2 linked regions of the Anolis sagrei genome follow. The protein of the gene in region 1 interacts with the protein of each later gene in a biochemical or structural test. Links are inferred from orthologs where the notes say so. Each region holds a gene or a part of one and is shown in the gene's direction. Other genes may lie near its edges.

Evidence for each region.
Region 2: of the proteins of CUL2 (region 1) and DCUN1D4, one has a biochemical effect on the other in vitro, tested with the Homo sapiens proteins (2 studies listed by BioGRID, with this or other methods). The link is inferred for Anolis sagrei from reciprocal best matches to the Homo sapiens genes CUL2 and DCUN1D4.

Annotation. Positions count from the first base shown.
Region 1 is NC_090026.1:114,118,930-114,126,594, reverse strand, and holds the start of CUL2 (cullin-2), read left to right. Parts: upstream 1-4,049; 5' UTR 4,050-4,466; intron 4,467-7,665.
Region 2 is NC_090025.1:75,561,303-75,568,745, reverse strand, and holds the start of DCUN1D4 (DCN1-like protein 4), read left to right. Parts: upstream 1-4,201; 5' UTR 4,202-4,294; coding exon 4,295-4,319; intron 4,320-7,443. UniProt on the Homo sapiens protein: Contributes to the neddylation of all cullins by transferring NEDD8 from N-terminally acetylated NEDD8-conjugating E2s enzyme to different cullin C-terminal domain-RBX complexes which are necessary for the activation of cullin-RING E3 ubiquitin ligases (CRLs).

The DNA of each region.
Region 1 (7,665 bases):
TGATATTGAGGAACAAGATTTCCTGTGTTGAGGACTGATTTTTAAAGGAGTTAGAGTTGTATAGAAGGTGTGTTAGGTTGCCACCTAGTGGTATTTTTGTTTTGACTCCTTTAAAAGTATTTTCGCGATTGCCTTCTTGGACGTAATACTTTCTAGACATGTAGGACTACAAATCCCAATCCAACAACTAAGGAATATGGGAGGTATAGTCCAATGCTTCTGGAAAATGCTACCTTGGGAAAGGCTAAACTGAAGCATAGATTTGTTTGGGAAAGGTGAATAAAGAATAGTTCATTTGTTCCAGAAAAAAGAGTTTTTGTTGACTAATAATAATAATGGTGCTCCATGCAGTCATGCTGGCCACATGACCTTTGAGGGTGTCTGTGGACAACTCCAGCTCTTCAGCTTCGAAATGGAGATGAACACCACCACCCGGAGTCAGACATGACTTGACTTAATGTCAGGAGAAACCTTTACCTAATAGTAACAATGTGGCTACGAGAATCCAGTGGTGAATATTAAGTGCAGAATTCTTTATTTATCTGTATGAGGACACAAAGAAGGATGCAGAAAAAAAGAATGTAAAAAAATTCTTCTTGTGTCTACAATTTTGACTATATTCAATTTTCAACAACATTTATTAAACCAAGCTTTTGAAGTTACAGATGTTCTTAGTCTTAAGATTCTGAGAAGGTCCTTTCTTGCCTCTGAAGAATCAAATGTTCTAGACATTAGAACCATATTCTTCAATATCAGTTTGAAACGGCATTAAATGGTAAGTGCAGATGGCCCCTTAGTGAGGACTCCAACCCACCCAGTAGTCAGATACTCAGAAGGCTTTCTTACGACAAAATCAGATATGGGACAGCTGCGGTAGCATAGTGGTCTGCATGTTGGACTAGGACACTGGCAGACCAGGGTTTGAATCTATTGTGAGAATCCCATAACCCGCCCTGCTAGACAAAAATGGCCTTATTAAGCCAGAAGCTCGCTGGACCCTACCCTGCCCCATTGACATCAGCGCTAGCATTGCACATGGTGGGTTTGAAACAAGTTCCTACTGATAAGAACTAGACAAAAGGAGGGTGCAGAGTAGAGGATACAGACCTTGATGTGAAATTGCCTGATTGTCTTAACCAACTCAGTCTGACAGTGATGGAGAGAAGCCCCAAAAGGGTGGCACAACCCTGTGAAACTATAAAAGCAAATGAACTATCACTGCTTGGGATATTGCCATTTTGGAGGCAACACTGGGAAAGTGAAAAGGAGAAACGCACCAAGAGGAAGGTGAGTCAAGTCAAGTAAACCTTTGTTCTGACTGCTTTCCATCTGGAAACCCATATCCTCAATGTGAAAGACTGTGTGGATTCAGAAAAGTTCACAGTCATTTATGGACCCACTTCCAAGACTCTTCATCTGGAAAACAATCGGTCAGGATGGATAATAATTTAATAATAATTTCTTACCCGCAAACCACAGACCACCTATTTAAATGCAGCCTAAGCCCTGCCACATTCACAATGGAGCATCTTTTTATAGCAACACCAGAGGACTGCAAGTGGCCAGCTACTAGTCAATGGACATTTAATAGAATGCCAAGTTTTTAAAACTTTGCCTTCAAAATGACGGTACCCCAAGCAGTGAAAGTTCATTTGCTTTCTCAAATACATTGGTTCGCTCCTGATACGATAAATAAATACCCACCTCTCCTCATGGCTCAAGGCAGGTTACAAAACAATTAAAATACATAAATGCAGCAAAACACTACAAATACACACAATAAAATGTACCTCCATAAAAGTTGCTTATGATGGTTTCATGAAGATATTATTATTATTATTATTGTTATTAATAATAATATCTTCATGAAACCATCATGAAACCATCTTCATGAAACCTTCATGAAACTGCCAAAATAGAATGGGGCTGCATTTCATCTAGGGCCTACCTTTACTATGAACTATCCCTCCACCGTCCCCAAAGCAACACGAGGCCTTCTGAATCTTGCTATAAATGCATATGAGCCTAGCCATACAGATTAATAAGGCATTTTACCTCCCTCCTGAAGGCATCAGATCCCTTCCGATATTGGAAACTGAGCAGGGCCAATCTTCATAACTATGTTGATAGGACAGGGTTTTTTTTCTGTGTCCTGAGCAACTTGAGAATTTGCAAGTGAGAGAATTGGCCGTCTGCAAGGACATTGCCCAGGGGACACCTGGATGTTTTGATGTTTTACCATCCATGTGGGAGGGTACTCTCATGTCCCCACATTGAGAGCTGGAGCTGATAGAGGGAACTCAACCTGCTCTCCCTGGATTTGAACCTCCAACCTGTCGGTCTTCAGTCCTGCCGGCACAAGAGTTTAACCCATTGTACTCCCAGGGGCTTCATGGGACAGGGTATATTTTGGAGAAAAGAAGTGACAGCAAAAGTATGATAGCTGGGACTCAACGCTACCCTAGTTACATAACACGGCTCTGAATTAAGGAAGGGAAGAGGTGCACAAGACAGCAGAGCGAGTGAGAGACGCAGCTGCGTCAGAGTCCTGGGAACTTTGCTCGCCAGAAAGGCGGAGAGGAAACATTTCTACCCCGTTTACCATCTTCGTAAGCCATTGTTTATAATTTAACAGTAAATAACTCTAAGGTACTTCACTCGCCTTAAGCAGTATGCTTGGCTGTTTGTTGTCCCCCACCCATCTTTTCTGACCCGCTTTGTGCATGTCTTCCCTTCATTAATTCTGCCCCGCATTGCGCAACCAGCGAAGGTTTCCAACTACTACTGTAGAATCCCAGCTGTCATACTTTTGCCGGTGACAATCTTTTCTTGCATAGGAGCTTCAGGGAGCTGTAGTAGGCTGTTAGGAATGGTGGGAGTTGAAGTCCAAAACACCTGGAGGGCCCAAGTTTGCTCATGCCTACCCTATAGACCATAAATAAAGTATTATTATTATTATTATAGGAAAACTCACAATTTAAATTCATGGGAATTTATTTGTCGTGTCAGAGCAGCCAGTCCATTATATTACATTTCTAACAGAACAAAGCAAACAAACAGAAAAATACACAACTTGTGAGTTTGGTAGCTGGTTAAATGTCCTTTGACCAGTATCTGGCCACTTGGAGTGCTTCTGGTGTTGCTGCAAGAAGGTCCTCCATTGTGCATGTGGCTGGGCTCAGGTTGCATTGCAGCAGGTGGTCAGTGGTTTGCTCTTCTCCACACTCGCATGTCGAGGATTCTACTTTGTAGCTCCATTTCTGAAGGTTGGCTCTGCATCTCGTGGTGCCAGAGCGCAGTCTGTTCAATGCCTTCCAAGTCGCCCAGTCGCCCAATCCCATGAATTGCTGGTCGCTTCTGGCCACAGATGCGACCAGCAATTCATGGGAATGCCATACGCCGACACAACCCCCTGAAGACACAACCAATAAAGAACAACACCCACAAAACAGGGAATTCCAGACAGGAAACATTCAGGGCCAGCTAACACCTCCCAACAAAGGATCCCCCAGGCTTTGAAGCTGCAATGCTATTCAATACTAATCAAGGTGGACAATTGCAACATTCACACTTGCCTCAAGCAGACAAGAGTTTTCTTCCATCCTGGACATCCCACAGATAGATAATCCTCACTTGCCTAGTTTCCAACAGACTTCACACCCTCTGAGGATGCCTGCCATAGATGTGGGCGAAACGTCAGGAGAGAATGTTTCTGCGACATGGCCAGACAGTCCTGAAAACTGACAGCCACCCAGTGATTCCGGCCATGAAATCCTTCGACCACACAGGCCATTCGGGGAAGCCTAAGGGCTGCGGCCTCTCCTCTCCCTCTCAGTCCCTCCTCGTGTCTTCAAAGGCCTCTCCTCCATCCTCCTCGCTCCCTTCGACGTCGACAAACCTCCACATTTCACCTCCATTCAATAACAATCTTCTCCGTCTCCCGTTACATTGAGAAAGCCGAAGAAGCCTTCAGCGCATGCGCACTCCCCTCCCCTTTCCATCCGAAGGAAGCTCTCACTTATTTATTTAATTTGCCGGAGCGGAAGTGGGCCAGCAGGTTGGCCCTCGGCGCTTTCCGTAGTTCAGGAAGTACCAATTCTCTTCATGCTCGGCGGGGGAGGAAGGCCAAGGCGTGCACCTCTTCTCACGGAGCCTGACCTAGTCGACTTAGATGGAGGCTGTGGCGCGTCCAGAATAGAAGTCTTGAGAGGGAGAGAAGGAGAGAAGGCCGGCTCCTTGTCGGCTGCCAGAACTCCCGCCTTCCCTCCCTCTTTTCCTCGCCTGCTTCGCGGTTGCGCCGGGCTGCTGGGAAGGCAGTGGGCGGGGTCAACGGGCAGCCGTGGCGGCTGGGTAATGGCAGCCCAGTGAAGAGGCTTCGGGGCGGCCAGAGAGAGAGAGACAGAGAGAGAGACGGCGGAGGGGGAGGACGGGGAGACGACGCGGGCCCGGGCCTCTCCTGTTGCCAGGTAACCCCGCGAAGGAAGGAAGGAGGGGAGGGACCCCGCCTTCTGACCCCCCCTCCCTCCCTCCCCACACCCCTTGGCCGCCTCTTCCTCCTCCTCTGGGGCGCCCCGTGCATTCTTTCCCTGCAACACCATGGCCCGACTTTGGCCTCCTCCCCCTCTCACTATATCTCTCTACTATAGTAGATCTGGGCAAACTTGGGCCCTCCAGGTGTTTTGGACTTCAACTCCCACCATTCCTAACAGCCTACTACAGCTCCCAGAAGCCTCCAGCCTGCCAGGGGCTTCTGGGAGCTGTAGTAGGCTGTTAGGAATGGTGGGAGTTGAAGTCCAAAATACCCAAGTTTGCCCAGGCCTACCCTATAGACCAGTGGTTCTCAACCTAGGGGTTGCGGGGGTGGGGGGTGGGGGGGTTGTCAGAGGAGTCGCCAAAGACCTTCAGAAAACACAGTATTTTCTGTAGGTCGAGGGGGTTCTGCATGGGAAGTTTGGGCCAATTGTATCGTTGGTGGGGTTCAGAATTCTCTTTGATTGTAGGTGAACTATAAACCCCAGCAACTGCAGACAAGGGTTCTTTCTCCCACCCTGGACATTCCACAGATATATAAACACCACTTGTCTATTATATATTATTATTTATTAACTTTATTTGTACCCCGCTAGCATCTCCCGAAGGACTCGATGCGGCTTACATAGGCCAAGGCCTCAAAACTCAACATAACAATACAACACCTAAAGCAAATTAAAAACAGTTAAAGCAATATTAACAACAAGCAATAAACAATACATCAAGACACTATAAAACTGGGCCGGGCCAGAGTAATGGGTACAAGATTAAAAGTGCTGATGTGACAGGAGGTATGTGGGATTATAGGGTAAGTGCAGTGTGCAGCAATCTTAGTTCTACTAAAGTGCTTCTGGGACTTCGTATTGGAGATTTCTAATCTGGAAAGGCACATCGGAACAGCCAGGTCTTCAAGTTCTTTCTAAAGACTGCCAATGTAGGGGCCTGTCTAAGATCTTTTGAAAGGGTGTTCCACAGTTGGGGGGCCACCCAAACTTGTCTAGTTTCCAACAAACCTCACAAACTTTGAGGATGCTTTATTGTGTATTATTTTGATATGTTTTACTCACTTGAGGCATTGAATGCTTGCCTTTTTGTATGTATAAACTTTATGATGAGAGGGTAGTCTAGAAATAAAGGTTTGATTATTATTATTATAGATGTGGGTGAAACATCAGGAGAGAATGCTTCTGGAACATGGCCATGCATCCTGGAAAACTCACAGCAATCCTTTGCTCTTCTTTTCTCTCTCTGTGTTGCTTGTTGCCTGTCAAAATACTTATAGGTAATACGTTTCATGCACTTTCTTTGCATCGCTGCAGGTTGGGTTCAGACAAAGTTAGGCTCCATTGAAACCAGTGAAACTTCAAAGCTCATCTAGCTTAGTCTGGATTCAGCCTTATGAGTCCAGGCATTTATGAAAATAACTTAGATGTGTTGTAGTCAAGTAGGCTCCTTGTTCTCGCTTCAGAAACCACAAGAAGTCTGTAGTATATATCACTGAACGACTGGAGGAAGGGATGATGCTGTTCAATCCACCATTTCTGGTTTGCTTTCATTTCAGGTCATAAAATGAGATAAAAAGTGATGGTTATAGGAATCCTGGGAGTAGGAAGTACAACTTACTTGTGACCCCATAGCAAACTCATTCAGGTTTGTTCTCTGATACCGTTGAACATAGGACCAGGTTTAAATGGTTTGAAGGTAGGAGAATAGATTTTCATTGAACATTAGAAAAAAGTTCTTAAGAGCTGTCCAGGACTGGAATAATCTACCTAGAAATATGATGGAATCTGTTTCTCTGGGAATCTTCAGAAAGAGACTGGACAAGCTACCTGCTAGAGATGGGAGTTGGTTAGATGCCGTGACTTATGGAGCCCTTCTAGTTCTAATGATTCATTACATTATCTCAGCAAAACAATATAGATGTTTTGCTCTTCAAAACAACTAGCTGCCATTTATTTACAGTTTGTATCTATAATTTGGAACCTTAAAACATCCATAGCATATTTGTTTAATTCAGAGCTCTTTTTGCTTCAAAAAAGAAAATCTACAGAAATTATCTGTAGAGGCCTGAATTAAAGGTATGAACAGCTGTAGCAAACATAATTATTGTATCACCTGTGTGTATTCTAGGTCAGTTCTTCTCAAGAATCCTGGCATGGAAAATCAGCAGTTTTTCCTAGGGGACTGGTATCCTATGTGTGTCCATTAGCTACAATTATGTCTCTCTGTCTTTCTTTCAAATTCACCAAAGACCAGCATTCAGTGACTCAAAATGGCACAAGTACTATCACTTTGAGCTATGCTGTTCTAGGAAACCTCTTTTAGAAAGGCTCTTGGAATGATGTACATACAAAAAGGGGGGGGGGGGGATTCTGACTGCTACATATCATAAGTCAGGAGTGCAATACCTTTATTCCCAGTCACCAACTGGAAACTGTAGTAACAACAACAAAAGTTAAGTTTGTCGCATTATCTTTAACTCTAGGTATTACTCCTTTTAGATTTTGAAATATCTCCATGAACTGAAATTATTGCTAGATGTAAACTGAAAATACTGTATCACTTTTCTTTTGAATGTTTTTCAAAGTCTCTTGTTGAGTAAGTGTCGCTTTCTGCGGCGTCTTTTGCATCTTCTTGTTTCCTTCCATTTATCATTTTGGCCTAGTTCCTCACCTAAAATATCTCTCTCTCACTGCTTAGGGAAGAAGTTGTAACTGTAACCCGAATTATGCTTTTCTCATTTCAGTTCCATCTCTCTCTCTCTCTCTCTCTCTCTCTTTTTGTTATCCTTGGCTTTCTTTATAAGCCTTTTTTTTAGATATGGTTCCCAAGTAGTTATTTGAATAAAAATAATTATGTTATGTAGTGGAATCTAACTTACCAAAAAAAGCTAAATCTGGCAGTTCTTTAAGCTAATGTTTGCTCTGCTGTTAAATTGTTCTAGATAGCAGGCTACTTCATCTGGTTTATTAAAGTAGTAGAGTTGCATACACAGCTGAATATAATTAATTATTGATGCTTTCCAGTCTTGATAAACATTGTATTATCTAAACACCATTTTTATATTATATTTACATATAACTTGTAAGCTGCACTGAGTCCCCTTCGCGTTGAGAAAGGCGTATATAAATG
Region 2 (7,443 bases), on another chromosome or scaffold:
AAAACTCTAAAATTACAACAGCAAAACAACAGAGAGGAAACAATTTATTTATTATTTACTTTATTTATATACTGCTTTTCTTAGCCCTCAGGCAACTCAAAGTGGTGAACAACATTGATACAAAACATCACGAGACAAGTATAGGGCAATTAAAAACAATTGTAACATAAATAATTAAACATCAGTATAACAATCATTAGCGCCTCAACAGTAAAATCAGAATCCAGTCTCATCATCCATTATTCCGTATTCCTATGTTCAATTACACTGTTTAATCAAATGCTTGTTCGAACAGCCAGGTCTTCACTTTCCTCTGGAACGCCAGCAGGGAGGGGGCCAATCTGATATCTGCAGGCAGGGCGTTCCACAGCTGAGGGGGCACCACTGAGAAGGCCCTGTCTCTCGTCTCCACCAAGCGTGCCTGTGATGCAGGCGGGACAGAGAGCAGGACCTCCCCAGATGATCTTAGTGTCCTAGCTGGTTCATAGGAGGAGATGCGTTCGGAGAGGTAAGTAGGGCCAGAACCGTTTAGGGCTTTATAGGCTAACACCAGCACTTTGAATTGTGCCCGGTAGCAAACTGGCAGCCCGTGGAGCTGGCGCAACAGAGGAGTAGTATGCTCCCTGAGTGCTGCTCCTGTTGCAGTAGTCTATACGGTATGTAACCAGAGCGTGGACTACCGCGGCCAAGTCAGACTTCCCAAGGTACGGGCGCAGCTGGCGCACAAGTTTTAACTGTGCGAATGCTCCCCTGGTCACCCTTGAAACCAGGCTCAGAGACGAGTCCAAGATCACACCCAAGCTGCGATCCTGGGGGAGTGTAACCCCGTCCAACACAGGCTGTAATCCTATGCCTATCAGGTACATCTAATCACCTCTCAACAAAATATTGCCCCAGGCACTGCCAGGCCATCAAATGCTAATCAAGGTGGTCAGTTGAAACATTCACATCAACCTCCAACAGACAAGAGTCCTTTGTCCCACCCTGGTCATTCCACAGATATATAAACCCCCTTTTCCTAGTTTCAACTGTACAGGAGTTGATTATAAATTGTATGATTTTAACTGTATTTGTGTTTAGATTGGCTGCAGTAATGCTGGAGCGGCCTAAGTCAGAGGAGTCCTCCATGTGTGTTGCCATGGAGACCGATGCAGGTGAGAGAGAAGTGGGAGGAGCTTAGAGGGGACAGTTTGAAAGAAGGACAGTTAAAAATCAGTTAGGGTTTAGGTTCCGAGGAGTGAGGAGTTAGGGTTTAGGTTTAGAGCAGTTGGTAGAGGAAAGGATTAGGAGGTTGTAGCTGAAAGAGAGTAAATTGTGAAGCAAAGTTTTGAGGGTTTGGAAAACCAGATTAAGCTACTGGAAGTTTCTTAGCCTAGAGAGGCTGATAAGGGAAACGAAGCCAGTATTCCTTTAGTCTAAGGAAAGGCTAAAGAATAATCTTATTAAGTATCTGATCAAGGGAGGATCAGATAAGGGAGACATCCCTGTATTGAAACTTTGTTTTGTAATAAGTGATTCACCTCAGGAAGATACTGTGTAACCTGAAAGAGTGTAACATTCAACTAACCAAGCACTGTTCTAAGTTCTATAACAAAAGTTACGTCTTGCAACCACACGCTGTGTACTTAATAAAATTGTTAACTTTTATTTGAAGACTGCCTCAGCTCTGTCTATTCTGGGTACAAAGTGCCATTTCTCACAATATTACAACTTACCTCACGTGGTGGCAGAAACGCAGGGAAAAGTAACGAAATAAATCTACATTCTTCTCTCCAGTCACGCTACAGTATATACAGTGTAATTACTACTAAGTTATTACTTTCTTAATAAAGGAGGAGGTGCAATTGAACAGCCTCCCTTCCAACTTGATGGTAGATTTGTTCCCTAATCGGAAACCTCCATTGCAAATCGGCCAGTTGCAAATCTCCTGAATACTGGATCCTTTCAAATTGGAGGCAACAATAAATTATCCCTCAGCTCCCTTGCTTCTTTTCACAACAGACCTCACTACCTCTGAGGATGCTTGCCATAGATGCAGGCGAAACGTCAGGAGAGAATGCCAGTGGCTGGATCTGCAAGATTAGTAGAAATATACTGTGGTTGAAGAGGGAGGGAGAGGGAGGGAAGGTGGAAATAATGTAATATACACCAGTGTAAATTAGCATAATGTCTTCAATATTTGTTGAATTACTCAGGATTTATATGTGTAACACTTGGAATTTGGCTTATCGATCTGTGTGTATAACATAATAAAATATCTTAAAAAAAAGAATGCCTCTAGAACAGTGCTTCCTAACCTGGAGACCACCTGAGGGGGTCACGAGTGGGTTTCAGAGGGGTCACCAAAGTCCATCAGAAAACATATATTTCTGATGGTCATAGGAACCCTTTTGGCAGAGAAGGCTAAAGATCTCTCCATCTGTCCTTCTCTTCCTTTTTGGTGTTGGTGAACTACAACTCCCAGAATTCAAAAATACTCCCCATCCCACCCCACCAGTATTCAATGTTGGCCATGTAGGTAGTGTGCTAAGTTTGGTGCAGATCCATTGTGGGCTGGGTTCAGAGTGCTTTTTGATTGTAGGTGAACTATAAATCCCAAATGTCAAGGTCTCTATTCCCCAAACTCCAACAGTGTTCACATTTGGGCATATTGAGTATTTGTGCCAAGTTTGGTCCAGTTCCATCATTGTTTGAGTCCACAGTGCTCTCTGGATGTAGGTGAACTACAACTCCAAAACTCAAGGTCAGTGCCCACCAAACCCTTGTATAGTATTTTCTGTTGGTCGTGGAGGTTCTGTGTGCCAAAATTGGTTTAATTCCATCATTGGTGGAGTTCAGAATGCTCTTTGATTGTAGGTGAATGATAAATCCCAGCAACTACAACTCCCAAATGTCAAGTTCTATTTTCCCCAATCTCCACCAGTATTCACATTTGAGCATATTGAGGATTCATGCCAAGTTTGCTCCAGATTCATCACTGTTTGAGTCCACAGTGCTCTCTGGATGTGGGTGAACTATAATTCCCAAACTCAAGGCCAATGTCCACCAAACCATTCCAGTTTTTTCTGTTGGTCATGGGAGCCCTGTGTGCTAAGTGTGGCCCAATTCCATCATTGGTGGAGTTCAGAATGCTCTTTGATTGTAGGTAAACTATAAATCCCAGCAACAATTCCCAAATGACAAAATCAATTTTTTTGAGTGGAGGACATAAATTGGACGGTTAGGTGTCTTGTGTCCAAATTTGGTGCCAATTCCCCCAGTGGTTTTTGAGTTCTGATGGTAGCACGAACTAACATTACATTTTTATTTATATAGATTTTCCTAGTTCCAACAGACTTCACTACCTCTGAGGATGCTTGCCATAGATGCAGGCGAAACGTCAGGAGTGAATGCCTCTAGAACATGGCCATGTAGCCCGAAAAAATAAACAAGATAGGATCTGTAGGTTTGTTCTTAAGTTGAATTTGTATGCAAGTTGGAACAGGTGCATTTTTACATGCAATTTCATATATATATATATAATGACTTATATACAAGTTCAACTTAAGAACAGACCTACAGAACCTATCTTGCAGAACTATTTTGTGTGTGTGTGTTGAGTGGTCAGTTGAAACATTCACACTTAGCTCCAACAGACAAGAGTTCTGTGTCCCACCCTGGTCACTCCACAGATATATAAACCCTTTTCCCTAGTTCCAACAGACCTCACTATCTCTGAGGATGCTTGCCATAGATGTAGGTGAAGAGTCAGGAGAAAATGCCTCTAGAACATGGCCATATAGCCCGAAAAAACCTACAACAACCCTATCATCCAATGCCTTGTCCACCCTTCGCATCACTCATTTCCCTTAATGACAAGCGGCAGCTGTTTACCCAAACGCCCCGCCCCCTTTTAATACCATCACCGACCTTTTAAGCCAATCGCCTCCCAAGGAGGGCGTGGCCTCGAACTCGCCACGCCCCCCCTCAACCTCAGCGACCACACCGCTGTTAGGATCGCTCCTCCGCACGCGCTGAAGGTACGGTGATTGGCGGCCGCCGCGGCCCAATGGCGAGCGCGGAGCAGGTGGCTTCCCTTTGTAGAGCGCTCAACCAATGGGCGAAGCGTGAAGGGCGTGGCCTGAGGAGTGGCGGGCGAGGCGTCGTATCGCGGCGGCGGGGAAAAGCAGCGTCGTCCAATGGAAGCCGGGAGTGGGCGGGGCGGGACGGCGTTCGGGAGAGCAGCGAGCGGAACGCTTGAGGGAGCCGGCCGGAGCGCTGTGGGCGCGGGGGCTCGCTCGAGGGCGGCACGAAAATGCACTCGGATGCCGCCGCTGTCAGTAAGTGGGGAGCTCGGCGAAGGAAGCGGAGTGGAGGCGGGAGGAGGGGAAGAGGGGATGTGGAAGGGGTGGGGAAAGGAGGAAGCCATCGGTTTGTGAGGGAAAGAGCCCTCGGTGGGACTCTGAGGGAACTGTGACGCAGTTGGCCCCGCTTTGTTCGGCGGCGCAGGAAGGGGGCGTGTGTGTGTGTGTGTGTGTGTGGGCCTCCCTCAAGCCTCCCCTTCCGTCGCCTTTTCTGCCCACTCTGGCGGGGGGGGGGGGAGGGAGAAAGGAACACCCCTCTGCTTCCCCTTCGCTCTGCTTCTCTCTCTCTCTCTCTCTCCGCTGCATTGTGGGAGTTTGAGTCCTCGGCTCCCTGCTCTTGCGCGTAGTCTTACTGGGCTGCGCACTACAACTCCCAGAATGCATTGCACACCCAACTGTCATCCCACCCCCTCCTCCTCTTTCCCTGTCCTTTTTCCTCTCCCCTCCGCCCCCATGACAGCGAACCCCACTCCAATGATCCTGTCGAAATCCAAGAGGCCATACTTGGGCCATCCAGCCCAACCCCCTTCTGCCACGCAGGAAAAGCACAATCATAGAATCCTAGAGTTGGAAGAGACCTCATGGGCCATCCAGTCCAACCCCCTGCCAAGAAGCATAATAATAACCTATCTATCTATCTATCTATCTATCTATCTATCTATCAATGCTCTGTGCGTAATGAGTACCTTAAAAACAAAAGAACCAATGAACGAAATCACACCAAATTTGGAAACAAAACATCTCACAACACAAGGAGAGACCATCACTCAAAATAGATGATTTTGTCATTTAAGAGTTGTACTTTCTTGGATGTATAGTTCACCTATAATCAAAGAGCATTTTGAACCCCACCAACGATGGAATTGAACCAAACTTTGCACACAGGACTCCCCTGACCAACAGACAACACTAGAAGGGTTTGGTGGGCAGCAATACTCAATATGCTCAATGTGAACATAGAATCATAGAATCAAAGAGTTGGAAGAGACCTCATGTGCCATCCAGTCCAACCCCTGCCAAGAAGCAGGAATATTACATTCAAATCACCCCTGACAGATGGCCATTCAGCCTCTGTTTAAAAGCTTCCAAAGAAGGAGCCTCCACCACATTCCGGGGCAGAGAGTTCCACTGCTGAACGGCTCTCACAGTCAGGAAGTTCATCCTCATGTTCAGATGGAATCTCCTTTCTTGTAGTTTGAAGCCATTGTTCTGGTCCTAGTCTCCAAGAAAGCAGAAAACAAGCTTGCTCCCTCCTCCCTGTGGCTTCCTCTCACATATTTATACATGGCTATCATATCTCCTCTCAGCCTTCTCTTCTTCAGGCTAAACATGCCCAGCTCCTTAGGCCGCTCCTCATAGGGCTTGTTCTCCAGACCCGTGATCGTTTTAGTTGCCCTCCTCTGGACACATTCCAGCTTGTCAATATCTCTCTTGAATTGTGGTGCCCAGAATTGGACACAATATTCCAGATGTGGTCTAACCAAAGCAGAATAGAGGGGTAGCATTACTTCCCTAGATCTAGACACTATGCTCCTATTGATGCAGGCCAAAATCCCATTGCCTTTTTTTGCCGCCACATCACATTGTTGGCTCATCCAGATAAGATCCATGAATTATTTTTCAAACGAAGTATACAGTAAATGGAGGCATAATAATTATCTATCTATCTATCTGTCTATCTATCTATCTATCTATCTATCTATCTATAAATGCTCTGTGCGTAATGAGTACCTTAAAAACAAAAGAACCAATGAACGAAATCACACCAAATTTGGCAACAAAACATCTCACAACACAAGGAGTGACCATCACTCAAAACATTATGATTTTGTCATTTGGGAGTTGTAGTTTCTGGGATTTATAGTTCACCTATAATCAAAGAGCATTCTGAACTCCACCAACGATGGAATTGAACCAAACTTGGCACACAGGACTCCCCTGACCAACAGACAACACTAGAAAGGTTTGGTGGGCACCAATACTCAATATGCTCAATGTCAACATAGAATTATAGAATCAAAGAGTTGGAAGAGACTTCATGGGCCATCCAGTCCAACCCCTGCCAAGAAGCAGGAATGTTGCATTCAAATCACCCCTGACAGATGGCCATTCAGCCCCTGTTTAAAAGCTTCCAAAGAAGGAGCCTCCACCACATTCCGGGGCAGAGAGTTTCACTGCTGAACGGCTCTCACAGTCAGGAAGTTCTTCCTCGTGTTCAGATGGAATCTCCTCTCTTGTAGTTTGAAGCCATTGTTCCGCATCCTAGTCTCCAAGGAAGCAGAAAACAAGCTTGCTCCCTCCTCCCTGTAGCTTCCTCTCACATATTTATACATGGCACCAGTAATCAATATGTTCAATGTGAACATGGGTGGAGTTTGGGGGAAATAGATTTTGACATTTAGGAGTTGTAGTTGCTGGGATTAATAGTTCACCTACAATCAAAGAGCATTCTGAACTCCACCAATGATGGAATTGAACAAAACTTGGCACACAGTCCTCCCATGACCAACAGAAAATACTGGAAGGGTTTGGTGGGTATTCACCTTGAGTTTTGGAGTTGTAGTTCACCTACATCCAGAGAGCACTGTGGACTCAAAACAATGATGAATCTGGACCAAACTTAGCACGAATACTTAACATGCCCAAATATAAACACAGATGGAGTTTGGGGGAAATAGGCCTTGACATTTGGGAATTGTAGTTACTGGGATTTATAGTTCACTTACAATCAAGGAGCATTCTGAACCACACCTACAACAATTGGGCCAAACATCCCACACAGAACCCTCATGACCAACAGAAAATGCTGTGTTTTCTGGTGGTCTTTGGCGACCCTTCTGATGCTCCCTTGCAACCCCCTCCAAGGGTCCCAAACCCCAGGTTGAGAAAGGCTGCCTTAAGGCCATCCAGTCCAATTCCCTTCACCAGGGCAAGAAAACATAAAGCCCTCTTGACAAAGAGCCATTTAGCCATTCACACACACACATATATGTATATGACTGATGCAGTATCAAAGATTTGAAAGGGATCCCTAAAGAAGGACGATGATATGTTGTGTGTTCCAGAGTGGGCAAACCAGACAACTCCACATGAACACTGG